4 linked regions of the Coturnix japonica genome follow. The protein of the gene in region 3 purifies or fractionates together with the protein of the main gene of each other region. This does not show direct contact. Links are inferred from orthologs where the notes say so. Each region holds a gene or a part of one and is shown on either strand. Other genes may lie near its edges. The genes, in order: SERTAD4, PPP2CB, PPP2R2D and IER5.

The links.
Region 1: the proteins of PPP2R2D (region 3) and SERTAD4 purify together in Homo sapiens (affinity purification with mass spectrometry; 3 studies listed by BioGRID and IntAct, counting the BioPlex papers as one, with this or other methods). This does not show direct contact. The link is inferred for Coturnix japonica from reciprocal best matches to the Homo sapiens genes PPP2R2D and SERTAD4.
Region 2: the proteins of PPP2R2D (region 3) and PPP2CB purify together in Homo sapiens (affinity purification with mass spectrometry; 6 studies listed by BioGRID and IntAct, counting the BioPlex papers as one, with this or other methods). This does not show direct contact. The link is inferred for Coturnix japonica from reciprocal best matches to the Homo sapiens genes PPP2R2D and PPP2CB.
Region 4: the proteins of PPP2R2D (region 3) and IER5 purify together in Homo sapiens (affinity purification with mass spectrometry; 3 studies listed by BioGRID and IntAct, counting the BioPlex papers as one, with this or other methods). This does not show direct contact. The link is inferred for Coturnix japonica from reciprocal best matches to the Homo sapiens genes PPP2R2D and IER5.

What each region holds. Positions count from the first base shown.
Region 1 is NC_029518.1:20,055,261-20,063,407, forward strand, and holds the start of SERTAD4 (SERTA domain-containing protein 4), read right to left. Parts: upstream 4,160-8,147; 5' UTR 4,072-4,159; intron 3,923-4,071; 5' UTR 3,908-3,922; coding exon 3,745-3,907; intron 3,473-3,744; coding exon 3,357-3,472; intron 654-3,356; coding exon 1-653.
Region 2 is NC_029519.1:30,567,597-30,575,834, forward strand, and holds the start of PPP2CB (serine/threonine-protein phosphatase 2A catalytic subunit beta isoform), read right to left. Parts: upstream 4,171-8,238; 5' UTR 4,033-4,170; coding exon 3,931-4,032; exon of another isoform or gene 2,743-3,930; intron 2,108-2,742; exon of another isoform or gene 1-2,107.
Region 3 is NC_029521.1:30,898,035-30,905,517, reverse strand, and holds part of PPP2R2D (serine/threonine-protein phosphatase 2A 55 kDa regulatory subunit B delta isoform), read right to left. Parts: intron 3,385-7,483; coding exon 3,287-3,384; intron 1,385-3,286; coding exon 1,219-1,384; intron 432-1,218; coding exon 319-431; intron 1-318. UniProt on the Homo sapiens protein: Substrate-recognition subunit of protein phosphatase 2A (PP2A) that plays a key role in cell cycle by controlling mitosis entry and exit. Involved in chromosome clustering during late mitosis by mediating dephosphorylation of MKI67.
Region 4 is NC_029523.1:5,892,719-5,899,719, forward strand, and holds IER5 (immediate early response gene 5 protein), read left to right. Parts: upstream 1-3,239; 5' UTR 3,240-3,394; coding exon 3,395-4,096; 3' UTR 4,097-4,623; downstream 4,624-7,001. UniProt on the Homo sapiens protein: Plays a role as a transcription factor. Mediates positive transcriptional regulation of several chaperone genes during the heat shock response in a HSF1-dependent manner. Mediates negative transcriptional regulation of CDC25B expression.

The sequences.
Region 1 (8,147 bases), on a different chromosome or scaffold from region 3:
TTGTCATTACACCCAGTCTCAAAATAGTCATAAAATTTGCCTTTACATTCAAAAGTATGAGTGCCTCTTACAGGTTCACAGTTTAGGGGCTCGCTGTCTCGCTCAGGTTCGTCGCTGCCCTTCTCATCAGTGAATTTGGCCTTGTCCTGATTAGCATGAGGCCTGGTGTTAGTGACAAATATTTCGCTTGCAGGTATTTGCTCGTCACTCCTGTAAGAAGGGGCACTGCCAATGTCATAATCCACCTGCTGGGAACAGCTCGGCAACGAAATGGGGGATGAGGAGGAGGAGGGAGAGGAGGAAGAAGTATTTTCTGTGCTGGCATTGACCGAGTAGGGAAGATTCAAGTAATGACCACCGCACTCTTGATAGAAGCAGCATGTGTGGAGCTTCTCATACTCCTCCTTGGCCATCCGAAGACGCTTTCGGTAAGGGCAGTCCTGGGGCACAAACCACTCCTGTGGCGAGGCAGCCCCGAAGGAGCACGTGGAGAAGCACCAGTTGTTCTGCATGATGATTTCTCCATGGATTCGCTTCATTAAATTGTTGATGAGGACGGATCTCCGCAGGTAGACTTCAGGATCGTCAATGAACTTCAGCTTTTCCAAAGACATGTAAAGAATATGGGCCCGTTCCTCAAACACTGAGATTGTCTGAAAATACAAAGGAGAGAAGATACAGAACTGAAGTCAACCGGCTTTGTTCCAGGCAAGAGAAAGGAAACGAAGCAGGGTATTCACTCTGTGCCACTGCCTTTCTCCTTCTCCTCCTCAGGCAACTAAAATCAGCTTCCCATGCTGCACACCCATGTGGAACATGTTTTTTTCTCAGCATCTGGGGTTAAAACAAAATTGTCATACTGTTCTGCTCTGGTGATGGGGGCTCTTTGATGTGAATGGACCCAGTCCCATCCCCTGTGGGGCTCCCACTGAGCCCTGAAGCCAGACACAGGTCCTTCCCACAGCCTCTTTGCAGCAGGGAGAGGCAAAGCTTTCCAGGATGGGGCCAGCAATGAGTGCCAGAACATTTCACCCACAGCCGGTGGAAGGGGCCCTCGGTGAGGAGGTCTCCATTTGCCAAGCCCTCGCTCGCCGCTCTCACATATAGGAACACACACAGGGAGGCAGGGAGAAACCATCTCAAAGCACTGCAGCATCTGGAGAGCAGCTGTTGGCCCGTGCACGACACCGCTCACTCCATGGGACCGGTGGGAATGTGGGGAGGCAGGGACAAGGTCAGGAAACAAAAGAGAGGACGGGGATTTGCAGGGATCCTGGCCAGGAGCCCACAGATCGGTTCCCCCTGCCGCAGTCCCTCCGGGGCTCTCTTTCTGAGCACTGGCAGCAGGAGCAGGTTACTGCCCGGGGGGCCCTGCTCTACACTGCAGTCACTGCCCCGGGAATCAAAACAGAGAGGGGGTAACACACGCTACTGTACGCAGCATTAACTAATTTTCATTTTTAGTAATAATTTGGTTTGTGTAGGAGGAGAGAAGCACAGCATAAAGAGAGGTTGCTCTAAATCCCCCCCATCTGTGGCTCGCTCGTTCTTCCCTTTCCCACATGGTTACAGCATTTTTGCAGAGTGGAAGTCGTAGCTATGAGGACTGAAAGCGCTCAGAGCACAGCTGCTTTTCACATCCATTCAGTTCTCCCAGCCCTGCAGCTCTTTCCACAGCCTGGTCCTGTCTGCAGGGCTCAGAAGCAGCACAGTACCTCGTAAAAGCAAAAATTGGCCCTGTTTCCAAGCAAGTTCGCAGCTGAAGCTCTTCTTTGTTAGACAGTAATTTTCTAAACATTAAGCCTAGAGGTTAACGTGCTACAGTAGAATCACAGAATGGTAGAATCGTGGAAGTTGGAAGGTATCCTTAAAGACCATCAAGGCCAACTCCCCTGCACTGAACAGGAGTACCTACAGCTCCATCAGATGTCATCAGCATCCCCCCAGCCCGACCTTGATTGTCTCCAGGAATGGGACATCCACCACCTCTCTGGCAACCTGTGCCAGTGCCTCATCAGCCTGACTGTAAAAAGAATTCTTCCCTATATCTGATCTAAATCTCACTGCTTTTAGATTGAAACCATTTCCCCTTGTCCTGTCGCAGCAAGCCCTGCTAAAGAGTCTGTCCCCTTCTTTCTTACAGCCCCACTTTAGATACTGAAAGGTTGCTCTCAAGTCTCCCTTGGAGCCTTCTCTTCTCCAGGCTGAGCAGTTCCAGCTCTCAGCCTGTCCTCCTAAGGGTGGTTCCATCCCTTGGACTGTATTTGTGGCTCTCCTCCAGAAGCGCTCCAACAAGTCCATGTCCAAATACCATTTCTTTATACTACCAGAAGGGAACAGGTAACAACCACTCCTCCTCTTCATCATCATACAGAACCCAACAACCTACCCAAGAACAAAGCTGGCAGAACAGAGAAATCAGTGCAACATGTGGGAGAGGACATCTTTCACTACCCTCCATGCTATGTGCACATCTCCCCAGAAGCAAACCAAGTGCTCTGCTCCACCTTCCAGCTGAACATTCATTCCCAGCCACTGCTATCTGTAGCTGGAAATTCCTTCAGCTGCCCTGAGGCATGTGGGAAGAACCACCCGTACCTCTTCAGCATGGGGCTCAAGCAGGCCCTGAATGCTGTCCCGGCAGGCACTGGGCAATGCAGGACCTGCTCCGTTCAGGTTGCCTCTGGGATGCAGCAGAGGTGCTGGAAAAGCTTTAGGTGCATGGCTGCACTGAGGTACCTTGGGTGCAGAGCCTCAGGGTGCCCCAAGGCCTGCGCTGTCCCCAAGCACCCCACCCCTGTGCTCAGCTCATCAACACCAGCACCAAAGCTCCCACCAAAAAGTCTGGTTTCAGTGTAGGCACTCACCGGCCTGGAAAGTGTTTGCTGTAATCCCTCCCTTGATGGCTTTTGTTTAAAAAAAAAAAAACAAAAAAATACTCTTTTCCTTACTAATCTGTTCTTTTGGAGTTATTGGCTTTCTAATAAACAGGATTAACCATGGAAGGTGCAGTGCTGCTTGCAGAGCTCTCTGCTCTTCTGCAGCCCACAGGGAACCTGCTGTGTGTCCTCCCCACGGGAAGGTGTGGGATGAGCAGGGAAGCGGGGCCCTATTTGCTCCGTTCCCCACATGTGGCATTGCAGCCCTACTCCTGTACTCGTGGGACGAGCTACCGAGGAACAAAAGAATCTGGGGGGAAAAAAAGTTAGCTGAGCATTTAGGCTAAAAGGCTGCCCGGGCAACGCGATGCCCACAGCTCGGGGCACGCAGCGAGTGCCGGCCACCTGCCCGTGCTCAGGCTGCAGGAGCGCCCCAGCGGTGCGCGGGGTAAAAATAGCGGCTCTCGGGAAACGTACTTTGTGCGCGCAGCTGCTGAGCGGCGGGTGAAAATCCTCTTCTTCCACATATTTCCTTTTAAAGTATGCGATCTTGGATGCCGCTGCAGGATTTGAAATTCCCCTGTAATGCGATCCTGCGGGCAATAAATCAGACACGACAAATGACATGCGGTTTGCCGGAGGTTCTCCAAACAAAACACTTTCCGTTTCCCCTCTCGCCGCGGCCCCGCCACGTCTCCCCGCAGCATCGTCCATCGGACGCTCCGCTCCGCCCGCCCGCCCCGCGGACCCCGCGCATCCCGCGGCTTCTCCCCCGCCCCTCGGGGCGACTCGCGGCCCCCCCCGGCTCCGGCCCGGCCGCACCTGCGCGGGGCCGCCCCGCTCCCCGCTGCCCGGCGGCGCCTACCTGCGGCGGGGGGACCGGCGGCGACCGGAGCGGGGCCGGGGGCGGCGGGGCCGGGGCGGCCGCAGGCGGGCGGCTCCCAGAGCGCGCGGTAGGCGGCGAGGTCGGCGGTTCCTTCGGCGGCGCTGGGGCGGCCCAGCCGCTGCATGGGCAGCACCAGGGTCATGGCGGGCGCCGGCTCCTGCAAGGAAGCAGCGCGGTGAGCGCCCCGGCACCCCTCCTCCTCCTGGCCGCCCCGACCCCGCGGCGGGCACCTACCGTAGGATGTCAGACGGACGCACGCCCCGAGTTCCCCTCCCGCCGCCCCCGCCCGGCCCCGGCGGCGCTCACCCGGCGGCGCGGACCCGCTCAGTCGCTGCCCATCCTCCGCCGCCGCAGCTGGCACGGCGCGCCGGCACCGACGGGCGCGGGTCTGGTGCGCGTGTCGTGGCGTGCGGGAGGGCGCGGAGCGGCGGGGATCGCGTTTCTTTCTTCCTCTCTCCCTCCCTCCGTCTCTCTTTCCCTCCCTCGCTCTTTCCCTCCCTCCCTTCCTCCCACCCTCCCGGTGGAGAGGAGCACAGACTCCGGCAGTTGTTTCCACTCTCCCCGCTCGGGCCGCGCTGGCTCTGCCTCCAGGCAAAACACAGGCACCAAATTGGCTGCGGCTCCGCGCCGCCGCTGGCGGCCCCGGGGGGGCGGCCCGGGCGGGGCGGGGCGGGGGCGGCTGCGGAGCGAACTTCGTGCGGGGCCGAGGGCTGAGCGCGGAACAATGAGCCGGGCGCGGCTCTTCCCCTCCTCCTCCTCCTCCTCCTTCTCCTCCTCTCGGCCCCCCGCGGCGGGACGGGGCCGCGCAGGTGGCGGTGCCCCGCGGGCGGCTCCGGGTTGCGCACCGCGGGGGAAGGGGGAAGGTAGTATCGGCATCTGCCACCATCGGGCCGCGCCTGGGCAAAGAACTGCGGACGCGGGGATGGGAAGCCCACGGGCAGCTCCGGTAGCACAACGTGGGCCACGCACCCCTCGCACCTTCTATTCCCAACGGAGCGCTGGCACGAGGAACGCTGGCTGACCGCGCTGGCTGAATGCAGGGCGAGAGCTGCTGAGAGCCGCCGGGCGGGTTGTGTGTTTCTTGTTCCAAAGCGTTCTGCTGCCCTTAGAAGCACCCGTGGGCACCTCAGTCTGTGGCACGGAGCTGCCCACGGGGAGACGCTGAAACCCGGCACCCGCCCTCTAGGAATAAGGGTTGGGGGCAGCTCAGTGCTGCGCGAGGGGGAGGTCAGGATCCCTCCTATTGATGGGTTCAGCATCCCTTTGTGGGATTGTTTTATGAGAATGAATTCGAAGTCGAGAATTTTGGCTGTGCTTTCTCTTATATGTCTCATCGTCTGCGGGTGCTTCTGTGCTTCAGCAGACACACGGGAGGGAAGGAAGAAAGGAAGTGTTGGGATGCCTTCTGCACAGAGCTGCTGATTTGTCTTGAAGAAGAGGCTGCTCTGGACAGCCTGGAGAGCAGCCGGGCTGCTTCTGCCGTGCACAGCAGGGACCGAGGCGGGGCAGCCACCTCCCGCTGACAGCTGCCTGCCGTGTGCATTTGCCGTGCACTCAGATGGAACAGAAACAAGACATAAAAAACCGAGCTTCCCGACGAGGAAAAATTATAAAGCCCAAATCCCGAAGCGAGCTGCTAAGTCCCTGCACGCTCTGCAAAGCCGCTTGGCTGCAAAATAGGGCTCGTTTTGTATTTAGTGAGCCCTGTTTGTAGCCAAGGAATTGCACACAGGCAGAGCAGCAGCCTTCCAAAGGGCTCCATGTGCCCACTGGTCTTCCAGAAGTGCCGGTATCTGGCTGGGAAGGTCACAGCCAGTGCCAGGGTGATGCTGGGCCAGGGGCTGAACTCCCAGTCCCCTATTGAGTGCTTCAGTCAAAGCACATGGGCACATGGGGGTCAGGGCTGCAAACAGAGCCAGAGCCCTTCATATCCCCACTGGCTCATCCCGTTTGGGTCACGTTATTGTAGGCAATGGAGGCAGTCTCCTTTACAAATCCTATTCAACTCAGAGAGACTGTGCAGAACAGCACGTGCATTGTTCCACTGCCATTAACACCACTGGAAATAAAGGACGAAAGATTCACACTGGTGCATACAATGCATTTGCCATACAAAATCACAGTGAAAGGCCAACACTCGGGCCTTTATCCCATTCTGGAAAGCCATTTGGGAGCCCCGGATGCCTGCGGCATCACCGTGAGCTCCCGCTGCCACCACCACCGGTGCCATTCTGTCACAACAAGGCACTACAGCGGCCCCAAGGTTGAAGTGTCCAACTTCACAGTGCACTGCTTCACAAGGACACAACTGCACAGTGCAACTACTCCCAGTCACTGCTTTACTCCATTTGCTGGTGTGTTCCTCTGCAGTCATTGTGATGTTAATGAGAGAGCTGTAATGATGCCATTCACACATAACAAGCCCGATGGGATGGCAGTGAAAAGGGCTTTTTATGCACATCCAGAATGTCTCTAGAAAAAAACAAAGCAAAACAACAACAACAACAAAAAAACAAATATGGAATGCCTGTTAGGATGATACTGCGGGTCTGATGGGATTAAGAACAGGGAATGGACTTGGGATGACTGCGCCTGTCATGAGGAGAGAGGGGAGGCTTTGATTGCAGCAGTGGATGGGAGGAGGATGTTGGGAGTGCATGGCCCAGCTGGTCAGCATGCCTTGATGTGCCAGAAGTTCGAGGATGAGGAAGTCACAGAGCTGGGAGATTAAAGGGCCTGGATACACGTGGAGTCACAGCAGTGCTGTGAATAAAGCTGTGGGGCCAGGGACTCACGGTGTACCAGGGTAGCCTAACCATAGTGAGCAGAAGTAGAGAACGAGAGGTGATCCCTGAATCAGGGCTCTGACAACAAGGACCAGCACTGTGGTAGGTGGGAAAGCACCTGGAACATCCAGTTCATGCTGGATTTGAACTAGCAGAACAGCATCTGTGCTGTCCTATCTCATAATGTTGGCCCACAGTGTCGGAGGTGGACATTGGTGGTGTGGCAGTAGAGGTTGAACCTTCCCCCAAATATTCCATTAGGTTTGCAGAGCACTTCAGCATCCTGGTGGTGAGCGTTGCTCCTGCTGCAGTGACAGCTCCTCTGCTGGGTTACCTTTGGGACAGCTTGGCACTGCACAGGGGCTGGGGGCAGTTTGGTGCCTGGAGGTGAAGAGAAGAGGACGGACAGCTTTAGGTCAGGCTGAGGCAGCAGAGTCCATGGGGCTTCTTGAGCCCAAGAGCAGCTTCCCTTCTTTCAGTGAGGTCACAAGTAAATCTGCCTCCTGGCTGCATTGCCTTCTGGCATCACAAACTGTGTGTGTATGGAGTTTAATTGTATTGCCTTCTTCACTTTCTGTCCACTGAATAAGGTAAACAGCACAAAAGAAGTGTTTGGGAACAAAGAGCAAGCTGTCTGCCGCTCAGCCTGCGCTGCTTTCCATGAAGAATGAGTGCTATTATTATTCTTTTACAAGTTTCCTTCTAAGGGAAATAAACACCAAAGGTAGGATTCCAAGGAAATGACTCACAAATATTGGCAACGTGCTCCAAAAATTTGATCCAGTCTTTGCAGAAGCCCTTAGCAGAATGCTAACCCCTCTCATTGCAAAATAAACTTCTCCCATCCGTGCCACACAGCAGCTCTGATGTGTGTGTGAAGGGCAGATGGGGGTGGCAGGGCCCATTTTGTTGTTTTTTTCTTTTACTTCTTCCCAATCCCCTGACATCGCATTGGATGCAGCCTCCAGTATCTGTTCTCAGCCACCAAGCTGCCCTCCCAGGTGCGCAGAGGTAACCACACACTGTGCCTCACCTTGTAGTTCTTAATCAGGGACCCCAGGAACCAGGAAAGCAGGCACTGAAGGATCAGACAGCTGAGCAGAGGCAGCCTGGCAGCATTACCATCTGCAAACAGAACTGTCTACTTAGCATATTTATTTCTCAGCTGTTTAAGATTTTGAATCATAAACGCATTCTCTGCATCCCTTGTAAGGCACATGTTCAAAGGCTCCAGCGCTCTCTCATGTTACTTTTGGGGTTTTGTTTGTTTATTTTGTTTTTGGCAGCGTAAATCTGGGTAGACAAGAGCAATGAAAATTGCGTCTCTCACATGGAATTCCTTTGCAGCTCAGTTCTGCTTAGACAGTGCCTGCAGATTAAAGAAGATTAAAGATCATTACCTTTACAAACTCCCATTTAATCACTCCACTCTGAGATGGGGGACTCTGGCATGGAGTCAGACTTTTCAGACAGTACAGCAGCGCAGCGGGACCATGCAGATTCCACACTTTTCCATGCATTCCCACAATTACCATCACCTTTCCTACTTTGGGATATACATGTAGAGATATCATCCCTGTAGTCTATGCACCATCC
Region 2 (8,238 bases), on a different chromosome or scaffold from region 3:
CCCATCAGAGGACCAGGCTGCCTGCCATCCCAGCCCTTGATCTGCATGGATGGATGCTGGAGGACACATCCCAGTACGTCACTGTGCTGTCACTACAAGAAAAAACTGAACAGTCTCAGGACTTGAACACAATCTCTTAATACACTGCTCTGAAACTGGAGATCTTACACAGGCCCTGAGACTACTGTCAGGATCATCAGGAGACTAAGCTTCTGTGAGAGGCTTAATGATCAAACACATCAACTCTCATACTGCTTGGATTTGTCTCTGAGACTCGTGTAGGATGACTCCATCGGTGAGGGGATTAAGATCCATCCAGATTTTCAATATCAGGTCTTCCCTGGATAATAATGTAAGATCCTTTGAGAACACAGAAACACAGCTCCTTCTGGAAGATTCATTGACTGTGCCATAACCTCAGTTTGATTGTTGGAGGCCCTTGCTTCAAGAATCCAAGAAACCAGTTATGGAGTTTCTCATTTCTCTGCCAGTTGCAATTAATTAAACTACAGCATCAACAGGCTGAGGATCCTAAAATCTCGGAGGTGCCTCAGCAGCTTCGTTTGACAAGAGCCAGCTGGATTCTCCCCAAATGAGAGGGGAGCTGGAGAGCTGGAGCTGCCCTGCCCTTCAATAGCAGGGGGCAGCCCACAGCCCCAACAGCAGCACTGATGCCAATATGGATGTACACTCCTAGAGCCATCCAGGCCAGTATATGCTAAGATAAACTTTATCACTGAAGAGATAAAATACTGCTGACTGTGATCCAGCATAACACTCTCAGAATGTGTCATGGTTTGAATGGCATCCAGGATGTAACTTGGCTTTGTTGCTCATACTAACTTCACCAATTACTGCAGAGGAGCCTACGAGCTCATTCTATTAAAATTATTCCTGGGCAAAATAATCTCAGAGGGCAGAACTGCCATACGTACATGCTAGCAACAGCAGTACTCCCTAAAGCACCAACTGGCTCCTTCTGCTCAGCTTGAGGAATCAGTGCACAATTACTTTTCAATAACAAGAAATGCAAGTGTTCATTAGTGGTTAGAATCCTTTTCCTCCCACCACTTCACAACACAAAGCTCTCCAGCTGCTCACAACAACAAGTCTCTACCCCCCTCTTAGACATATGAAGACCGAAGATGGGGGGGAAGGGGGAAATAAGGAAGCTACAAAGAAATAGATGGCTATAGATAGTCATTTGCCTGTGTTTAAGAAACAGCCTTTAACTGGATTTTCTTTATGCCGTATCTTATTATCTTAATGAAAAACTGTCTTTATTATAACTAAAGCCTCAACTCCCTCATCAGCAGAATTAATCTGCTCACTTGACTTGAATCTCAAATCAAGCAGCATTTAAAGCTTTTCACGTCCAACCTTGAGAGCAGTTCCTGTTAAAATGAATCCACCTCCTCAGTCTTTCAGCCTGGCTGTAGCTGCTCAAAGTGCAGGTAATGAGGGGCAGCAGTACCCACGCGGGATCAAAAGGAGTTCCATGCATTAAGTGCTACCCTTCTGTCAGTACCCAAATTCAAAGGCAGCACAACCACGGATACAAAACGTGCCACTGCACTTCTGATTAAGTGCAGACAGCATCCAAGACTGAGCTCTAAAGATTTTCTCACTGCCTATTTAATGGGGGAAAAAAAAAAAAGGCTTTTAACAACCTTCATCTACTCAGATGATCTACAATAATAAAGTTAAACAGTAAGAGATGCAAGAAGCCTAATGTTCATTTCCCTGATGGGCTGGAAACATTTCTGGTGCCTGGAAGCTCCAGTAGTGACAATAATTGTTTGTTTTTCTATTACATACTAAATATCAGCATGACTTTAGTTTTCATTTTAAGAGCAGCAGAACAGGAAGTGTTTTAATGTTATCACCAGATGACATCTTGATTAATTCTACAAAGACTCTAAGATGGATTAGCTGCCAGTTATGTCATAACCAGGCAGATCAATTTACAGTGATTCTACAGGTGCAATTATCAAAAGCTTTCTGAGAGAAGAACAGCTGCTATCCCCTGTGTGAGCCAACTATCTCCAGTCCTTCCCTCCTCACTGTCTGTGAGGCCAGCAAGTGAAACCAAGAACGATACACACAGGTAAGTCTGGGACTCAATTTGGTTTTGTATCCCATGCTTTCATAGAAAACTTTCAGAGTATTTTTTTTATTTTATTTCCCCCCCGCCCCCCCATTTTAACCACCTAATACTATTACTAATTTAAAAACTAAAGCAAGAGTTACTATTGCATATGACCAGAAAGGTTGTTAAGGGTTTCTCCAAGTATTATCTTGGGGAAGCAACCCAAGCTTTCTGACAGCGCTGCAGATCAGTTACCAACGCTACCTGAAAACCAGATGCTCCAATAGCTTACATTTATTTCCGAGCAAACATGCTGTGCCTCACAGGTTCGCATGGTTCACATCCTACCCGTCATTTTGGAGGACTGACATTCCTTTCACCTGCAGCTGTGCTCTCCACTTGGCACCTCTCCCTGCTTTGCAGCCACTGACTGCAATACAACCTACTGATCATACCATCCAGCTTCTGAAAGCACAGCAGCCACAGCTCCTTCTTTGGCTTTGCTGTTAATTAAGAAGGGAATTATTACTATTATTATTATTATTATTATTATTATTATTATTATTATTATTATTATTATTATTTAGCAGCTTGGTGGTTGGTGCAGCAGTTCAGAACTCTTGCTGTTCTGAACTGCAAATCAATTCTTTCAGGCTCATCAGCTGGACTTCAAACGACAGCACAGCTACAAGAAGCTCACTCTTTTGAAGACATCTACATCTCAAGGCTCTTCAATTGCTCCCTGCTGCAGCACCAGCCCTTCTCACAATTGTCCCAGCTTGGTGAGTGCAGAAAAAGCCATAAAGCAAATGGGCAGTTACAGCGTGGGTAAAAAAACAGAATGGGAGAAACAGGCCAGTGTGCAGCCAGACAATCCAGGACTACTAGTAAAAGTGTATGTCAGGCAGCCACGGCTTTGACTTCTAACAAATATCTGCCTGTGACACTCAGCTCCTACCTTTTGAAGGGCACTCCTAGCATGCTATAAGGCGGTGGTGCAGGCTCTCTCTACTGTTCAAACCTATTGCTGCGGTGGCCTACTGAAGACTTGGGGGGAAAAGAAAAAAGAAATAGTTCCATCTTCTGAAAGCTGCCACTGGCCAGAATGCCAGGAACAGGCACCACAACAGATCACCTGCTTCTGCAAGAGCTCAGTGAGACACAGGTAATGACAACACAAAACCTAGCTCGCTATCAGCAATACAAACAGTACAGGGACCAATGAACTAGCTGTCAGGCACATGAGGCAGAGCAGTTACCAGCTGATCCAGTGCACGGCAATAGTCCCTGCTGTCACTGAGGTACATAGAGAACACAATCTGAGCTGCTGTGCTGAGCCCACCTCAGCTCCTTGGCCTTGTCACAGCTCGTACATTCAAGCAGATCCTAGCTCAGCTATACACTGCAGTATGGATGGTTATGCTCGCACACAGGCATTTAACTTCTCAGACAAAAGCCACCCAAACCTGTCTCCTGACAGGAGAAAAGGCTCTTTGCGGCAAACTATATTACCTCTCCAACCACTTCCTGCTCTATCCCGGCCTCCCTCCCCACAACGTAGGCCTGTCTTTAAGGCGGCAGCACAGCCCACCCGCTGCCCCTCATCACACGTCAGGGCTTTCCCCACGGCTGCGGGCCGACGGCCGCGCTCCGGCTCGGCGCCGTTCTACAGCCGGCGCTTCTCGCAGTGATCCGCCATGCGGGCAGCGCCGGGCGGGCCACGACGGCCGGCCCCGAGGCACAGCCGAGCCCCCTCCAGCCGGCCGCAGCTCCAGGCCTCGCACGGCCATCTTCGGCACGGCCGGCCCCAGCGCCGGGCCGCCTCTCCCCGCCTCACTCACCTTCTCGCAGAGGCTGCGGACCTGGCTCTCGCTCAGCTGCCGGCACTCGTTCAGCTGCTCGATCCACTGGTCCAGCTCCTTGGCGAAGCTCTTCTCCTCCATGGCGGCGCTGCCGGCCGGGGCCGGGCCCCCCCCGCACTGGGCGCCCGCGAGGCCCGGTCCCGCCTGAGGCTGCCGGCGCAACGGCGGGGGCGCGCGGCCTGCTGCGCTCCCGGAATGGCGGCCCCCGGCCCTGCGCACTTCCGTCTGCCGCCGCCCCCGCCCGCGCTTCCGCTCCGGCACTGCGCGTGCGCGGCGCCTCGCGACGGGCGTAACGGTCCGTCCCTCAGGTGGAGCTGGGAGTCAAAGGGGTTAGAGCGCTGTGCGCCTATAGCGAGCTGTGCAACTGAAAGTGCGTTCAGCAGAGTCAAAGGGAGTCATGTATTTACACAAATACAGTTTGTTTAGTTGCTCCTAAAAGTCCTCTGCCATTCTGTACTCATAAATGATGCCTTTTGTGAGCTGTGAACAGCTTGGAAGACTCAGCCAAGAGAGCCCCTGGACCGCTGAAACCAACTGGGACTCTCCCACTATCTCACCAAAAGGGAGCCCTGAGGGAATTCTACTTCTCAGTCTCGTAAATTAAGACTTAAGCAACCAGATCCATAAAGCATTTGTAATGCTTCCACCTGGTCCTTGGTGAGGACACCAGGGCGGTGTAACTTCAGCCCCACTGTGTTATGCACCTGGAAGATGTTTTCCACCTGGACCGGATGGCTCCACGCAGTGCTGAGGTTGATGCTGACGTGCTGGAAAGAGGTATGTGCCTAAGAGAAGTCACCCAACCCTCCACAGGGTCCTGCTGGTGTGGTATTCACTCCAGCGCTCCTATATCTCCTCCCTGCATATCACCCGTGCACAGCACAGCCCTCACATTCACCCCCCATGCTGCATGGGCTCTCCCTGGTACCCCTAGCACCTGACACAGTCTTGCACACCTCTTCTGCAGCGGCTCTGCTGAGTCCCAGCACACTTGTGGGAGAGGCAGTATTGGGTGGTTGCACTTGATGGGGCACAATACATCATCTGAGGAAACAAATATACATTATTCAGGGTGGTGTGAGGATGCTTGGCACTCCCAGGAACTGAGCAGAACTTGCTGCCTCCCATTTGAGGCTACAGGGAGGCAGAAATGGGCACTGTTGTTCCTTTAATTTCATCTACTCACAGACTGGATTCTGTACCTGAAGATGCATGGGAAAAAAGGCTTGCAACCACTTGTGAGTGCTGCCTTCCTTTGTACCATCTCTAGTAACCAATGCAAATGCCTTGTTAATGCATGGTACTGAAAAACCAAGACGGTGTTGTCTGCCTTTCTGAGGAGGAAGAAAAGATTTTGCTAGGTCTCCTTCTGTGAACATCATTAGATGTCCACAGCTTTTGGCTGCTGTTTTCAGTGAGTTCATCACAATAAATCATTTCTTTCTAAAATGCAAAACACCAACATCAGAAATTACTTAGCCTCCAGGAAACATTAATAACAGTCTTATCTCTTAACTGTTAAGTATACTGAAATGCAGCGATTCTTCTCTTGTGCACTTACCATTTTGAAGGGTGTAATTATGAAACACTGGTGAAAGAGGACATAAGGTTGAAAAGCCCTGGGGAGAAGATGCGAGAGGCAGATTTATATTCTGGGTCTTGGTTAAAATTATTGCCCCTCACAGACGGACACATTTCTATGTCTCTCTCACAGGAAGCTCCCACGTGGGAGACACTGTAAAGCCAGCTCTGAGTGACTGAGCCCTGAAACAACTGCACCGTGCATCAGGCAACAAGAATTAGAGCAGACAGTTCAGACTACACAAGTAAGCAAATTTATTTTAAGACAGAACAAATATTGTGGCAAACAACAATACGCAAATTCAGTTGGTAACAGGGGTAAATATCAGACTTCGTTTTCAAATAGATATAAAATATATTCAGATTTTGTTTTGTCCAAAAAGCAGCTTGTGTAGGGGGCTTGGGATGGGAAAGGTCTGCCCATGAAGCTCCAGAACCAGCACTGACTCCTCTGCCAGCAGGGCTGCATGCATGGGCTCTCCCACCACAGGACAGAGGTGCCTGTTGGAATTCCAGCTCCCTTTCAGTAGTTCCCTCCCTTCTGGTAAAAAGCCAATTCTTGCCACAGACTCCATTTTTGGTTGTGGAGGAGCTGGAGCAGCACCACAGTGCTCACCTACCTGGGGATGGAGTGGTCACAGGTGTCCTTTTTAGGCACAGATAAGCATGCAGAGAGCTGCTGGGGAAGCAGCTCACCTCCAAAGGCAGAGGAGTCACACTGAATCCTGGCCCCATGCTCGCCATGGAGAAAGGGGACAGGACTGCCTACTGGAGCACAGGGGTGGCTGTGAGCCAAGGGGGAGAGAGCTGCTTTCTGGAAAAGCCATCCCAAATAAAAGCACACATAGAAAACATTAGATTGTCAATGATGCTTTGAAACAAATTCAAGTTTATCATTTAGTGTGTGTGTGTGTGTTCACTTCGTACAAACAGAGGAGAAATACTGTGAAACTTCAAGCTCTGGCCAGCATGTCCTCAGTTAGTGTCCACAGAAGCACCATCAGGTATGGGAGAGTTAGCACCACAGAGTTGTAGGACCTAACTGATAACATGCGTCATTGTTGGAAAACTAGGGACATGGAGATCCACGGGGGACATGGTACAGTCCATTAGAAACAATACAAGGCAATTTATGCGTTGTCATACAGTACAATACAGTCACTGACCAACCAACCCTTTCAGTACAGTACGGAACATGTAACACTTTGCACCCTGTTAACACTAGGGGACTAAGAGACTCTCACACTTTCCTTTCCTTCTGGCCAATTCTGGTACCAAAATGTGCAGGAAGGATGAAAGGCTCGGCCCTTCCCTGACGCGCTTCACAGGGTCCGCACATCAGGAGAGATGGGTCCTGACAGCCACAGAAGTGCTCCTTACTTCTGTCATAGTGAGAACAGGGTCAATTGAAAAAGTGCTAAATTACAGTACATCTGCATTTTTATATGTCAACTACTGAACAGCGAAACAGATCGTTTGAAAACAGAATCGGTATTGTACAGTAAGTTCACACTTAATTCTTCACCGTTTCTACACTTGTAACACATGCATTTTATTTCCATTAGTTTGATTCCAGTAGGACCAACATCCTTCAGAACAATGATCTCACATTAAACAAAACTCCCTAAGGAAAATACTGAGCATCACATAAGCTTCAGAAAAATCTGTTAATCAGCATCACAATGTACTCAGATTTACATTTAGGGTTTTTCATGCCATGAATTTCAAACACCTTTTGGTTAATATCCTGAAAACAAATCAACCCCCCCACCCCGAAATGATAATAACAGTAATAATAACAATAATAATAAAACCACAGAAAGAACGGCTGGGGAAACAAATACTCTGTCTGTAGGTACATGCGCACACACATACATGCACATACACATTGAGGGGTGCATGGGTGTGTGTGCATTTGGAGACTGCTTCCTGCAGTGCACAATTTGTTTGATAAACTTGACTCATTTCAAGGTCATTCACATGGGCTGGGAAACACTTTTGGGAAAGAGTTCTAAACTATGGAAAGAAATTAAAAATGTCTCTGCTGGAGAGAAAGAAAAGGTGGGTAAGACATCGTCCGTGTGCCATTTCAATGCACTTCCCATGAGCTGCCTCAAACCCAAACTGAAATCCCCTAAAAGAACCGTCTTCTGCTTAAAAGGTCCTTCCCGAGAAAAAGGTGCTGTGCTATGCATTACATTCAGGCCTTATGTGTGCCGTGCAGCAGAAAATGCTTAACTTTACCTTTGACGAGATGCCAACTTGGAGAGGCAAAAAACTATACCTGTGGAAAAAAACACAGAGACCTGTTCTGCATCCCTCTTCCTTGCCAGCTTCCTTTCCCGAGGAGGAAAGAAAGCACTCAGCTCCCCAGAGGATGATGGAATGTGGGCTGAAATACTGAAAAGCATCCCACTGTGTCTCAGTGCCAGCCAGAAGGGCCGAGGCCCTCTGTGGGCCTTTCTGAGAGGCTCTCCTCATCCACTAGCGCCTGGGTACTGAGAGAGAGCACCCGAGCCACTGGGTGCTAGTTCTTTAAAGCTAGATTTGCAGGGTTAATTTGGCCAGGAGATGAAAAACAGTCTGGAATCTATGTACATTTCCACTTCAAAATCACACAATGGAGAATATAAGAGCATAACACTTTGGGCTGCTCAAAGCTTGTTGCTTTTTAACCACCTTCAATTCTGAATGAATGTCCAAACC
Region 3 (7,483 bases):
CTGACCCTACCTGCCAGCTTCACAGGGAACTGCCAACCAATCTCTTTTTCTACCATTTCAATACACTGAGTTGGATAAATGCTGTCTCTAAGGAGATAATTTCATTTGAAAGTATTTGATTTTAAATCTATTTAAAATCTGCTAAGATTCCAAAACAGCAAGAAAAACAAAACAAGAACCAACCTACTGGAAGGAGATATTTTAGTTAGGTACCAAAACATCGTTTCTACCTTCTCATCTCAGTTGGCAACCTTGGTAATATGAAGGTAAAGAACTACATGCAGAAAAGATACTTGAAGTCAAAAAGCAGAAACGTACCCGCAGTGCTGTGATTTTGAAGGGATCCCTAAGTCTTCCATCTTCATCTTTTAAGTTGTACCCCTCTGGCCTCTTATCTCTTTCAGTGATTTTCCATAATTTGATTGTTTTATCTAAAAAAAAAAAAAAAAAATCAATAAAAATTCACATCCTTGAGAATGAACCAAATTCCACAATTAAATCCCTGCGTATGGGGCTGAGCAGAGTGTTGCTCTCAGCACAGACGTGAAGAACTTTGCCTCTGGCTACATTAGTTACCAGAATTAGTGTATTAGAAATAAACAAGAAGCACGCGCTTACAGGGTGTGGATGGGAAACACCTCAAAGTATCAGTAAAAAGAAGGGAAACAATCAGCATTCATTTCACATTTTTCAGGTTTCATTTTAACTCAAATGTAACATTCAGCTTAAAAAATAATACAAGTTTCTGCCTGATCAATAAAGCAGCCAGCTTACCATTGGCATTAATACCCCTCTGCAAGGGATATGCTGATCACCAGAACCCAGCAATGAGCCCTGAACTGCTATCTAAGTGATTTTAAACAGACAAACCTGAAGGAATGAAAACAATCATTTAAGATGACACAGCTGAAAGGCTGCTTTGAGTCTAGCAAGACTTAAGCAAAGTAGATTAACTTGATTTCCTGGTCCATAGACAGAAGTCATTCCTGCTTTTGGAGTTTTGTATAGCAGCCTGTATATAAGATCATTTAAGAACAAGGCTAAAGGAGATCCAAAACCTTAGGAACAAGTGCATGTGTCAACAAAAGCAAGGTGTGCTTTCTTCCTGCACTGCTCTGCACTAGATTTACAATTTGCTCCATGATGCATCAAAACGAAACAGCCAATAATATTCAAATGACACACAATAAGTGGCTTTTGCAAGAATAGTGTTCTTACCATTTGTAGACAGCAGGAAATGAGCAGCATTCTGTTGTGGCAACCACCTGATTTTATTAATTTTTTCCTCGATCTCTAGACTTTTCAAGTAGTCAAACTCAGGCTCGTGACTCTGGAAGGTACTGTAAACATTATATTCTCCCCTAGAATGAGGACGGCTTTTATTCTGTAAGGAAACACAGAATTTCTTGAAGCTGATGTTACCCAGTTTGTTAGGAATTCTACATACAAAGTAAAGACTATAAATTGTCAATTAGAATGGAACCTTGTTACAATGGGTCTTGCTGAATTTGGTACCTTTACTGTAAAGCATCTTAGCAACACAATATGTGCAGACTGCCTTTTAAAAATACACCTTTAAATATACGTATTTGTTGACTCATTTGAGAGCACCTGGCAGAAGCACGCTGCCTGCACTGCTGCTCCCAGGCACTTTCAAACCAACTGGAGCAGAAATCAGTTACATCCCTATATCCTAAACCATAAAATCCATGTGTTTATTTTCTGCACCTCATCAAACTTGTTCCCCTAATGAACATAATATGGACATAGTACAATCTCTAACAAATATGCAGTCAGTTCATTCTGAGACTTGATCTTTCTCCCCGTCATTTAACTTCTATGCATTTTAGATGGGATCCTCTCTACTTTTAGTTATGTCCATTACTTACCCAACCACCCATGTTTTGCTCAGGCTGTCCTGTCCAGTACAAGGCACTGGTCTCACTATGTTCCAACCAAGTGTGTCAGTAACATCAGCTTCTTGGAACTGATGTAATGCCCTGCGAGTTCAGGGCATGATGCCCAACATTTCAGCCTGCGTTCCCAACACGAAGCCTTTGTGAAATCTTACAACTATCTTTGGTTGTTACTAACACAGTCAAAGAAATGACACTGTTTAAAGAAACAGTTGTGAGATTTCATTAAGTTTGTAGTATTATAGACATATTTGATTCAGACGTGACTTCCTCCTCTCCAGGAATTCTGCAGTTTTGTATGTGGCAAGAGAATGAAATCCTGTCACGTCCATCGCTTCCCTGCAGCCCACGTCCTCCCAAATATTGCTGTGTGACGAGTGTGACTTGTGTAATGCTAAGAGGAAGTGATGTGACAGCTGGGTTTGGACTTACACAACAACTGAGCACAAAAACAATATGAGTTCCATGCTGAACTAGTATCAAAAAGATAGAGATCCCGAGCAGGTGGCCACTTCTGACCTTGGTCTGTGTGCATTAGTTAAGTCTATCCAGCAGACTAAATGATAAATGAGCACTGAGCCATCTAGGTGCAGCAGTGTAACATTTCAGCAGCTTTTCAGCAATAGTGTTTTCATTTCACCACCTCTGAAAAGCCTGCAATAAAACTGATGAGCTAAAATGGGAAAATGTTTTGTGAACAGTGAGGATGAAACATGAAATACTGGACAGTTCATCCATTAAGCATTATTCAAATTATACAATGAAAGAAGCGGGATTCTGAACCAGGGAAAGGCTCAAATCCTCATCTCTGCACCAGAAATGCCCATATTTTCCCACTGACATCAGATGCTTAATTCTTCACTATTTGAACTGCCACATTCTGATGTCCTTGCAGCTCCACACGTATTCTTTTTCCTTATAAACTTGTTTTCTTATATTCATTTCAAAAGAAATAGGATGTGCCTTAGATCAACGTGAGAATGTCCAATGGTAGGTCAAGGAAAGACTGGATGTTGTGTTGAGGGACATGATTTAGTGGGAGCTATTAGTAATAGGTGAATAGTTGGACTGGATGATCTTTTAGGTCTCTTCCAGCCTTGGTGATTCTATGATCTACAATACTGAGCGTAACAGTTACATAGAGGAATTTACTGTATTTCTGGGGTGTTTCTTTCAAAGCAGCGAGGGGCTGAAACCACCACCCAGCTGACCTCCCAGGTTCAGTACAAGGCAGGTATATACATGGCTAACTTTGGGTTTCCTGAGCAACTTATCTAGTCACACAACCTTCACAGCATGAGCAGATGAAGTGAGACTGTGCAACACAAGAGCAGCGGAGTAACAGCACTTTTGTTTTTCATGTCACTGACCTCTTGTTCCCTTTGAAATATAACCACTCTGCCACCTTTGTCTCCTGTTGCAAGAAGATCACCAGAGTAATTAAATTCAACTGTTGAAATAATATCAGCTGTGAACAGAACAGAAATAAAATGCACTGTAATGCGTAAAGCAAATCAAGATGTTTCAAAACTTGAAAACAAAATTACAATCTGCATTAATATAACAGCCCAAAGAATTGATTTACATCACTGCTATCCAGAAATTGTTTCAAACCCCATCAAAAATTATTCATTTACACTTTAAAACATCCTCTCATTTCTCCATGTTCTGAGCTTGAGAGCCTTCAATCATGAGAGGCAGCTTGTTGTTTGAAGAACCCAAACTGCGTCCTACCCATCTCCAGTAAGTATGGGCACACATAGGGGAGCACAGAGCTCCCCACAGTGCTCCATTTGCAGTGCTGCTTCAGAGCAGCACTGCAGCTTACAGTGCCCAAAGCCATGTCGGAACAGGCCTGTCCTTCCTTGTGCTCACCACTGATACACTTAGTTCAGGAACCTGAATTGGCCAAAGGAAAAACAAGAGAAGAAAAAAAAGTCAATTCAGCCTACTAAACCAACACCAGCTTTTATACAACAAACAAGAGGCAAGGATGACAGCTGCTGAAGGAAAGGACTGCAGGACCTCCAGGTTAGAGTGCATTAAGGTCCCTTGGAACCAAACCTGAGAAAACAAGCAGTATTTACCACTACAGGCCACAGCCTTTGAAGGTGACAGGGTTAGGGCCTCTGCCCTCCACACCTCCCAGCCAGCCCCGGCCACACCAGCTCCAGCTGGTCACCATAATACACACATCACCTTGTGCCACTTTAATTCTCACAACCAAAAATCCCCAAACCCACAAACAAAAACCTCCTCTTTGTGCATGTTGCTCATTTTACTGTTGGCCATTAATACTGATCCGTGTTAATTATTTCCACAATTACATGTTTGCTTTGACCCGATGGCTGCTTGAATTGTCTGAATGTATAAATTACAAGCTATTACAGGCTGGCTGGTTACGAGGCTTTCAGTTACAAATACCAAATATCACAACGCAGCACAGAGCTCTGTGCTAAGATGACAAAGCTGAGCCAGCTGCAAGTGTCGTCCTAAACTCTACACCAAGACTGACAGCAGCCCAGGCTGCCCAGAGCCACATCCAGCCTGGCCTCGAATGGCTGCAGGGATGGGGCACCCACAGCCTCCTTGGGCAACTGTTCCAATGACTCCTTAACACATCAATCCAAAGTTGTGCAAAACACTTTTCATTATGGCTTCAGAAAAGGAATAAACTATCAATAATTTCTCTCATGTAGACTGTCATGGGGTGTTCTGAACACAGGCCTCCAAAATCTTGGGCTGCTACACTGGGAGTGAAGGTGGATGAAGTGTCAGAGGGCAGCTTTTGTTATGCTTAGAGGAGAGCGAGCTTGGGCCCACAGACTAATTTGATCCTACAAAGGAATCATACGATGTATTTCTGACACTGATACCAAGGCCTGGGCTGTTCAGACATCCAAACTGGATGTCTAAAATTAGCCACCATGAACTTCTCTGAGCTGGCTGCATAGTGCTGCTCCCGTTAACAACAGAAAACTTTACTGCTCCTAAAGCTGAAAGCCAAGACAACGAGCTTAAAGCCCCCTGAATGATTGTACAGCTGGATCTTGCTTGGCACTAACACTAGTGAGGCACAAGCAGCATCAACTTCTCCCATTCTTAAAAGCTATTCAAAGACTCTTGGCAAAATCCTGCTCCTCACACTTAATGGATGATCACAGAATCGTAGTATGGTTTAGGTTGGAAGGGACCTTAAAGATCACCCAGTTCCAACGCCCTGGCCATGGCAGGGCTGCCACGCATTGCACCAGGCTCCCATCCAACCTGGCCTTGATCGCCTCCAGGGATGGGGCACCCACAGCTTCTCTGGGCAACCTGTTCCAATGCCTCACCACCCTCCGAGTAAAAACCTTCTTCCAAACATCTAACCTCGATCTGCCCTCTTTTAGTTTAAAGTCATCCCCCGTGCCCTGTCACTATCAGACCATGTAAAAAGTCACTCTCCCTCCTGTTTATATGCTCCCTTTAAGTACTGGAAGGCCACAATGAGGTGTCCCCAGAGCTTCTCTTCTCCAAGCTAAACAAGTCCAGTTCCCTCAACCTTTCCTCAGAGAGGCTCCAACCCTCTGCTCATCTTAGTGCTCCTCCTCTGGTCCTGCTCCAACAGCTCCACATCCCTCATGCACCAAAGGCCCCAGGCCTGGAAAAGTACTCCAGATGGGGCCTCACGAGGAAGTGAAACAGTTCTATTTCCAATCATTACCTAAAAAGGAGGCTGATTCAACTTCTAAGGGATCTTAATCATTAATTACAGTGGAAATTTAAGTAACAAATCTTCACATCCAACTTAGAGAGCAACAGAAATGGCAGCAGATCCACATCCTGTCCTCCCCTTCCTGAAAAGTATTTTACTACACGTCTTTGTCCATGATCCGTTCTGAGACCCAAAGAATCAACTGTTCTAAGGGACTGTGACACTAGAATGGCTCTGGCTTTGAGAGGAAGTGACTGGACCTGGACCACAGCCAGGTGGCTGGCATGAACCATAAAGGAGATTGTGAGAGGAAACAAAACATAAGCAGAGCATTGCTGTGCTTGAAATCAAGACCAAGGTGACACACCTTCTGCTCTCCCCTGGGCCCATCATTCCACAGAGCCTGTGGTGCAACAGCTGAAGGGAGACAGAGACATCATGTGGCGTCTCACAGTCGATGGGAATGAAACAGAGAGCGCAGAAGGGGATAAGTCCAGGCTACGTGCTCCTAAACCAACTTAGAATCACAAGGTGGGATGTCCCAGTGATGTGCTGAACTGTAAGATGAGCAGAACGAGCAGGAATTGCTTTTGCAACAGGCAGTGACAATACAATGAACTTAACAAGTTACAGATGCACAGTGTAAGGTTTAACAGCTCTTCACCTTCAGATGGTTACAGCCATCCCAAAGGAAAAGCACAGATCTGGCAGCAAGGTTCTAAGCAGCCTGTCCTCCATCTGCTGAGGCAGCCAAGTGCCAGCAGAGCTTTGGCCTCTGCAGGTTTCTGATCACTGACTTCTACCCTCTGCATCTCCTCTTTTTTCCTGTACCTTTAACTCATTTGCTTCTGGCTGCATAGAAATTCTTCATGCTACGGCTGTAAGAACAGTCAAGGGAAAAGATTAACGCCACTCTGCAGTTCGGATGGCCCAGGACTGGTACAGCTGTTACTGTAACGTCTAAGCTCTCCTAACATTGCACTGTTCCTTAGTTTAAGACTTGATATAAATCTGATTTCTATCTCTGAATTACACAGAAAGGAAAGCCAAACCATGGAGCTATCTACATTCATTTGAAATATACAGTGACTAAAAATAACCTGTGTTTCAGAATATGCTATTTTTAGACTCTGTATTCAGATCTCCACTTCTATGACTGATTTAAGAATACATGAGAGTGAGGCAGCTGTATCAGGGGTCAGGAGAAGACCACAATGGTGCCATTGTTTTGCTCACACTAAGTTTCTTCCAGCTTACTTCACTGTCCTGCTTAAACTTCCATCAGGTTTAACCACTTCTTTTGTAATAAACCAACTTGCAAAGTGCCTTGAATTGCTTTTCAATAACAAGCAGAATTTCACTTAATCCAAAGTAAGTCTCCTTTTTGAACTGATTTACATCACTGAACAGATAACCAAGAGCACCAGCAGGGCACCCAGGCTGCTGCAGAGGAAGCACAGTGTCTTGGCCAGTGAGTACAGCCTGCAGCTTCTCCTCAATGAACCCGGCTGTAAATGGACACTAAAGGACCTGAGTTGTATCAGAAACAGGTTAAAGTGCATGTGTCTGCATTGATGGGAGAGCACAAAGCAAGGGTGAAGCAACAGCAAGATCGGATTGTAGTAAAGCTGAAGTTCAGTAAGACGGAAATGAACTTCACCTTTGTGCTTGCCAAGGCTCCCTATGCCTTCACTTACAAAGGAATCAAAGCTCATGCAGACTCACTTGTAAATCCAGGCACCCTCACTATGAACATTCATACTGCAAAACCTATGAGAGAGAAGTGAACAACTCAGATAAGTAGGAGCCTCCAGAAGCTCTGATGTGCCATTTCTTCCTGCACTCGTTACTTACTCATACAATAAGAAAG
Region 4 (7,001 bases), on a different chromosome or scaffold from region 3:
CTGGACGTGGTCCCTCACTGTTAGCTTGGAGCATGGCAGCGTGACACAAGTGTCATTGCCATCCAGCAGGAAGCTGTGGGACACAGGGCACATCTGTGCTCCACGACGTGCGCAGGGCTGCAGCCGGCACTTGCCTGCCAGCTAAAAGGAAGGTGACTTTGAGATGCAGGGAGAGAAAATAATTAGACTGTGACTCCTTTGGGCAGGCAGCCTACCCTACAGTCTGCAGGGCTGCGGCTTCGGCTGGCTCTGATGTGTGGATTTAACCCTGTGCTGGGCTGCAGGTGAACCCAGGCTCCTGTTTGGCACGGAGTGAGAGCATCCCTCAGGGCACAGAGCAAATCACCCAGTCGGCATCATGTGAGCAGCAGCCCAGTGCTGTGCTGGGCTTCTCCTGGGCACCAGGAGGACCAAAGGACCAGAGGAACAAAATACAGGAAGGTGGACTACAATAGAAGGGTTGTCTGATAGGAAACCCCGGACAAATAAATGTGTTCTTTCCCCAGGAAACCAAAGCCAATTTCATAAAGGACTGTAAGCTGTGGGGCCACCTTTTTCCAAGGGAAATGGCTGCCTGAAGGAGCTGATAACCATCTACATCCTTATCCAAACTCAGACAAGCTGTGGGTGCCCTAACTCTGGATGGATCCCTGTAAGGTCATGGATGGAGCCCTAGGTAGCCTGACTGGTAGGGGACAGCCATCCCACGGCAGGGTTGGGGCTCACTGATCTTTAAGGTCCCTTCCAACCTAAGCCTTTCTATGATCTCCCCGAATGGAAGAGGGGTTTTAACCTTGGAAAAACCCCTTTGCTTTCTAGTACGGTGCTGCGCTGTGTGAACGCGAGGCTGTGGTTTCCAGTGCAGGTACAGAGCACTCTCAGAAGCTGGGGGAGCCACTTCCCTTCCTTCAGCTTTAGGTCTGTGTTGCTTTCTTTGTTTCGCTTGCGTGTTGTGTTGGGTTGTCACCCAGCAGTGCTTAGTATTTGGGGATGTTCTCTCTGCCCTTGTCTTCAAACACAGATAACCCAGAGCAGATGGGAACCGGGGAGCATTACCTACCCATACCCAACAGCGGGAGGCTGAGACTGCATCTGTGTCAACCATTGATTTATCTAGGAGGGAAGAATCAACCCAAACGATGCTCAGCGTTAGATATCTCTTATCTCTGGCTACAAAACGAAGCCCTGTTTGGGAATGGTTGCTTCATCAGTGGAGCCTGGAGATGTCCTGGAGGTCCATTGTCACTTGGGGAAGCTCAGTACGAAGGGTTTTATCCCCTACCACGCTGCTGGTGTGAGAGTCTGTGTCCCAGGAGGAGCCCAACCCCCGAACCAAGAGAAGGGCGATGATGCACCGGGGAGGCTCCAGGATCCCGTGCTTGGAGGACACCTGGATGTCTCCGGGATCGCTCCCCATTCCTTCAGAGTATCTGCCCGGCTCACATGTGTTGACAAGGCGCAGTGCCGGCTGCCGGAGGGTCGGCGCCAGCTTGGAACAGGATCTGGGTAACCACATCCGCACTCGGCGACAGGTCGGGGGCCGCGCTGCGTGCCAGATGGCCCGGCCCGGCCCGGCGCTGATGGCAGCGGGACCCGAGAGCTGCCGGGACGTGACAAAGCGCCGTTCGCCTTATATTTCCGATAGCGCGAGGGAGGCGGACAGAGAGCTGATATGAGACGGCCATCGGGCCGTGGGCAGCCCGTGCCACGAGGCAGCAGCGCCAGCCCCCGAGCGAACTTCCCGGAGCTGATTGAATCGCCTATAAAAAAGCAGCCGTGTGCGCAGCCTCTGCGATTACGATGTTGTACCGCAAGCTGCTTCCTGTCCCGAGCCTCTTTTATCTCGCATTGTTTTCCTTTCCAGGTGGGGCTGCGGGCTCCCCGCCGCTCGGCCCCCCGGGTTTCCTGCTCGCTCCGAGCCACCTTTGTCTGCCGGCCCCGCTATTTCGGGAAACGGCAGCTGTGCCGAAGGGCTGCGAATTGTTTGTCAGCTCCTTTCCAGCCTGCCCAGATCACACGCGGACAGAGAAGCGGCCGGTCGCACCCTGCCCGCCCGGCTCCTGCCGGGGATGGATGGGGCGCTGCCCCTCGGCTGGGCCACGCACACGGGGACGCGGCACCTCCCCGCGTGGGAACGGGAGCAGCAGCGGCACGACGGGCGGACGGGTACAGACAGACAGACAACAAAGCCACCCCAAGGCGAGCGCTGACCTCAGAAGCTGCCATGTGACGCTGCCTCAAACTTACTAAGGCATGACATCAGCCTGGGAGGGAAAGCGGGGCTGCCACCAAAATACCGCCCGGCTTAAAAGGGCTGAGCTGGGCCGGACTTTCTGCAGCCACCCCCAGCCCTGCTTCTGTGGCATTGATTCTTACCGGGCTCAGCTGAGCACCAAGGGGCTCGTGTCCCACAGCACCCACAAAGAATCCCCGTTGTTTTCACACGCGGCTGGTCACAGAACCCAATGACAGCACCGAGGTGCCCCGGCCGGTCGGGCTGAGCACGGAGCAGGTCGGACAGGTTGGGATCGCTGAGGACAGCAGTGCTTGGTTCCCATCAGCAGGGTGGGAAGGAAAGCCCTGCTCTGCCCGGGGCTGTTCTCTGCAGCCCAGAGGCCGGTGCACTGGGGAGGGGGGTCTGAAGCCTTCTGAGAAGGGTCCCTGCTGGTTCTTTTCCACGCTCATTGAGTCCCAATGGGGACGGGCAGCCCCTGCACCTCACGTCCTGCCCTTCAATACCAAGTGAGGCTCTTGTTTTGGGTGAGAAAGGGAGAAGTGGGAAGTGCCGTCACATGGCAGACAGGAAGGCAGCAGGCTGAAAGCGATACCCTGGGCTGTCCTTTCACTTCTGCCCTCGCCCTCTTGCCCCCATTGCTTCCTGGAGCTGGGCTGGGGATAGAGGCAAGAATCAAATCCAAATTCACAACCTGGACAAAGTGAATCCAACCCCAACGTATTTCATGTATTCTACATAAAATGGAGAATAAACCCATCAAAGACAGCTGCCCCTTGTGTACTGTAAGGTACAAAGGGATGAAAGCTTCTCAAAGCGCTTTTTTGGCAGGAATTAGTGGCAGAAGACGACCCGGCGCTATCCCCGCTTGCCTTCCACTCCAGGTGGGCCCCACCAGCCTCTCTCTGGCATTGCCGCTTTAAGGGCTCTCTCCGCGGGGCGAGCGTTCGAACGCGTTACCCTGCCCCGCCATTGGCCGGCGCGCCGGCGGTTGGAGCGGCCGGCGGAGCGCTCTGATTGGTCGGCGCTGGGGCGGTATAAAGGGAGGCGTGGCGCGTGGGCACCCTCAGTCGTCGGCGAGAGCGAGCGGAGTGAGTGTGTGCGTTTGTGCGGCGGAGCGGATCGGCCCGAGTTCAGCCCCGGCTTCACCTCGGCCCACCCATGGAGTTCAAGCTGGAGGCGCACCGCATCGTCAGCATCTCGCTGGGCAAGATCTACAGCGCGCGGGGCCAGCGCGGCGGCCTGAAGCTGCACAAGAACCTCCTGGTGTCGCTGGTACTGCGCAGCGCCCGCCAGGTCTACCTGAGCGAACCGGGCTGCCCTCCCGAACCGCCCCCCGCCGCCTGCGGGCCGCCGGCACAGCCCGCTCCAACTTGTCCCGCCGCCTGGGCGCCCGCGGAGCCGGACGCGCCGAGGCTCGGGCGGCCATCGGCCGACGCGGACTGCGGCAGCTCCCGGCCGGCACGGCGCTGCTCGTGGGGCGGCTGCCGCTGCGGGGCGGGCGCTGAGGGGCCCCGCGATGCCGGGCGCTGCTGCTCCGTGCCCCCGCTGTGCCCCCGGAAACGGAGCGCCGCCGAGATGGAGCAGCAGGGCTCGCCCGTGAAGAAGCCGCGCAGAGAGATGGAGGAGTCGCCGCCGCCCCCGCAGGGCGAGCAGGAGGACATGGAGACGGGCAACGTGGCCAGCCTCATCAGCATCTTCGGCTCCAGCTTCTCGGGACTGCTCAGCAAGGAGCCGCAGGGCCGCCGGCGGCCGAGCCTCAACGGCAGCGAAGAGACGAACGCGGAGCCGGGGCAGATCTGTTGCGATCAGCGCGTGCTGCGGACCCTCAACCCGTGGAGCACGGCCATCGTGGCCTTCTAACCGCCAGGAGGGGCACGGACAGACCCGGAGCTGCCCCCCTCCTCCTTCCTCCCCCCCTCCCGGCCCCGCACGGAAGAACAGCGGGCAGCAGCACTTCCCCTTCGCCGGGCCCCGACCGTCGGCAGCCGCCCTGGGAGCGGCCCGACCCGCCCGGAATTCCCCTTCCCGATCCCCCGCCCCGGGGCGCTCCCAGCGGGGGATATTTTAAGCTTGGAAAGTATTAAATTTATTAAATAAAGTGTTTATTTTGGAAAGGTTTAGGGCAGAACTGTTACATGGTGCTTTTAAAAAGTGGTTATTGGAGAGAAGCAGAAGTTTACAGACGCTCCGACGGAAAGTCCTCGTGAGCCGAGGTTGTTAGGCTCGGGGATCCCCGGCCTTTGTTGTATAAAGGCTTAGGGGTCCCGTATTGGGGTAGGGGTGGGATGGAGGGGGGGTTTGTACAGTGTTCTCTTCGGTGATGTATCTCGTTTTGTATGAAATGTATTGCTACGTGTGTGACACGTATTAAATATTTTCGACTGTAGCGGCTGAATCCTTGTCTGTGGGGTGGGGGGTGGCAGCCAGGCACCCCGCGTTACCTCGGGTGGGGTAGTGAGGGGGGGTTACGTTGGGTTACGTTGGGTTTCTGTTGTAGACCCAACGTTCCAACCCGCTCCCAGCTCCAGGTCGATGGCTGTGGCTCAAAGTCCTGCTCTAGGGGCGTGTGAGCTGCCGCTGCCAGGCATAGGCTGTGCTCGGGGCTGCTTGTTCCGCTGCCAGCAGTCGTTCTCCTCGCCTCCTGTTTGCTGTTACTTGCGCGGTGGTTACGATGAGCAGTTCCTACTATTGCTAAGAACTGGGTTAAAGTTCCTGCTCGCATGGGTGGGGAGGAAAGCTTGGCCTGTGCTTCACAGCCACCGCGGAGCGCCCCGGGGCGTTGTAATTACATTGAATTGTGGGGGAATTTTTGTTCTTCAGTTTCTCGCTGGGATATTCACCGGAGGCTCCTCCGCTCCTAATTAACGATCCCTCCCACTGAGGACTCTGCTGTGCGCCCTTGGGAGATGCGACCCAAAAGTCGGGATGGGAGAGCCGGGCAGCGGGCTGTAAATGCTGTTAATTCTCTTCCAAACTGGTTGTCAGATGGGGAGGAGGTTCTTCGGCTCTGCTCCACCTTCTACAGGCGTTGTGCAACAGCCGGACCGCTGGCAAATGCCACGCTGCTGCTGCGGCTCCTCCCGGCTGGGTGACCTCCGGCTTCTCGCTTATCAGCTGACACGCGCTGTCCCCGAAGGACCCGAGCTGGCTCCGTGGGCTGCTGGAGCCGTCCCCGCTGTCGTACCGCAGCCACGTTGGACCCCGCAGCCTAATTCAGTGCCGGCTGTTGGGTGGGGGGGAGCTGGAGGCCGCTCCCAGGGCTGCGGTGACCCCGCTGGCCGCAGGGAAGGGCGGCTGCAGCTCCAATTGTTCCGGAGATACTTTGCATAACTGGCAGCAGGGCTTAGGAAAGTGCTCCGGGGGAGCTGGAGCAGCCCGATGTTCTCAGGAGCTGCTCGGGGGTCCCAGGATCTGCCTTTCCTCGCCTCCTTCCCTGCGTCTTTTCTCGTTCCTGTAATAACACTGACATAAACAAGGGCCGTTCTTCTGTTCCAGTGTTTCGGTCCTTGGAGTTTCCCTTCCCACGGTGCTGCGTTGAGGGCGAAGGGGTGGGAAAGGACAGGGCTGTAGGCTTGGGGAGGGGCTGGCAGCCCAACCGCACCTCCGTGCCAATGCTGCTGATGGAAGGAGTGCAAAAATAAGCCAGATAAAAATAAAACCTTCCATCACTTGGAAGAAAGGGTAACTCCTATGGAAATAGAGGGCCCGGACGGATGTGATCTAATGGCAAGATGACAGGTCCTCACCTCCTGGAACAGCAGTGGGGCTGTTGGGGAGCAGCTCCTCAGTGTGGTCTGGAGCTGAGGGGGCTGCTTTGGGCTTGGATGCAGAGCCCAAGGCTCAAATAAAAGGGCCGAACCCACACGTCCTGGGATGGCTCAGCCCTCTGAGAGGGGATGAGCATAGAGGTGGTTTCCAGGGTCCTATTGGGTGTCCCCCACGAGTGCTCCATCCCGGTGCACCCCGTCCTGGCCTCTGTCCGTGCCTCCCGGGCAGGGGAGGAGGGGGCAGGCTGTGGGCTGCAGCATCCTGCGGGGCTGTGTCAGCGCTCAGGAATCCGGGAGCTGCTGGGAAGGAGGGAGGGAGGAGGAGGGAGGAGGAGGGAGGCCGGGAGGGAGGCCAGCGCCTCGGGGCCGCGCTGCTGGGGCCTCTCCCAGCTGGGGAATGGGGGGGCACCGCACCGGTGGGGGCTGCTGAGTGAATGGAGAAGGGCGAATCCAGGCTGGCTGGGGTCCCCGAGGCAGGGGATGAACGCAAACAGCTTTCTTCTGGTTGTGATTGCTGCTACTGATAGGAAAACCCTGCAGGCCCCCCTGGCTGGGTGAGAGCAGTAATGAAACACAGAGCTGCTGGGGAGGGCTCCTTCTGGCTCCCAGCTGAGCAGTGTGTTGGTTTGGAGAGCCAGGGCTGGCCATGCATGGGGTGCAGGATGCTCCAGTGTGTCACCCCATGTCCTGTTCCCTTGATCTGTGCCTCTTCCTAGGGAAAGGCCCTTTTCCTCCTGTTCCTCATCTCTGACCTCAGCCTGTAGCCCTGGGGCTCAGCAGCAGCTCAGGACAGGTCAAGGCACATCCAGCCCCAAGCTGAGCTCTGTGCATGCAGGCACAGGAAGGAGCGTGACTCCCAGGGAGATGCTCCCCCTCTGCTTTTCCTGGCACTGAGGGCACAGAGCTGGCTGGGAACCACCTGCAGGAGGGGAAAAGGGAATGAGGAGGGAAACACAAGAGCGGATGGGGCAGGGGACAGGCAGGAAGGACACAGAGAG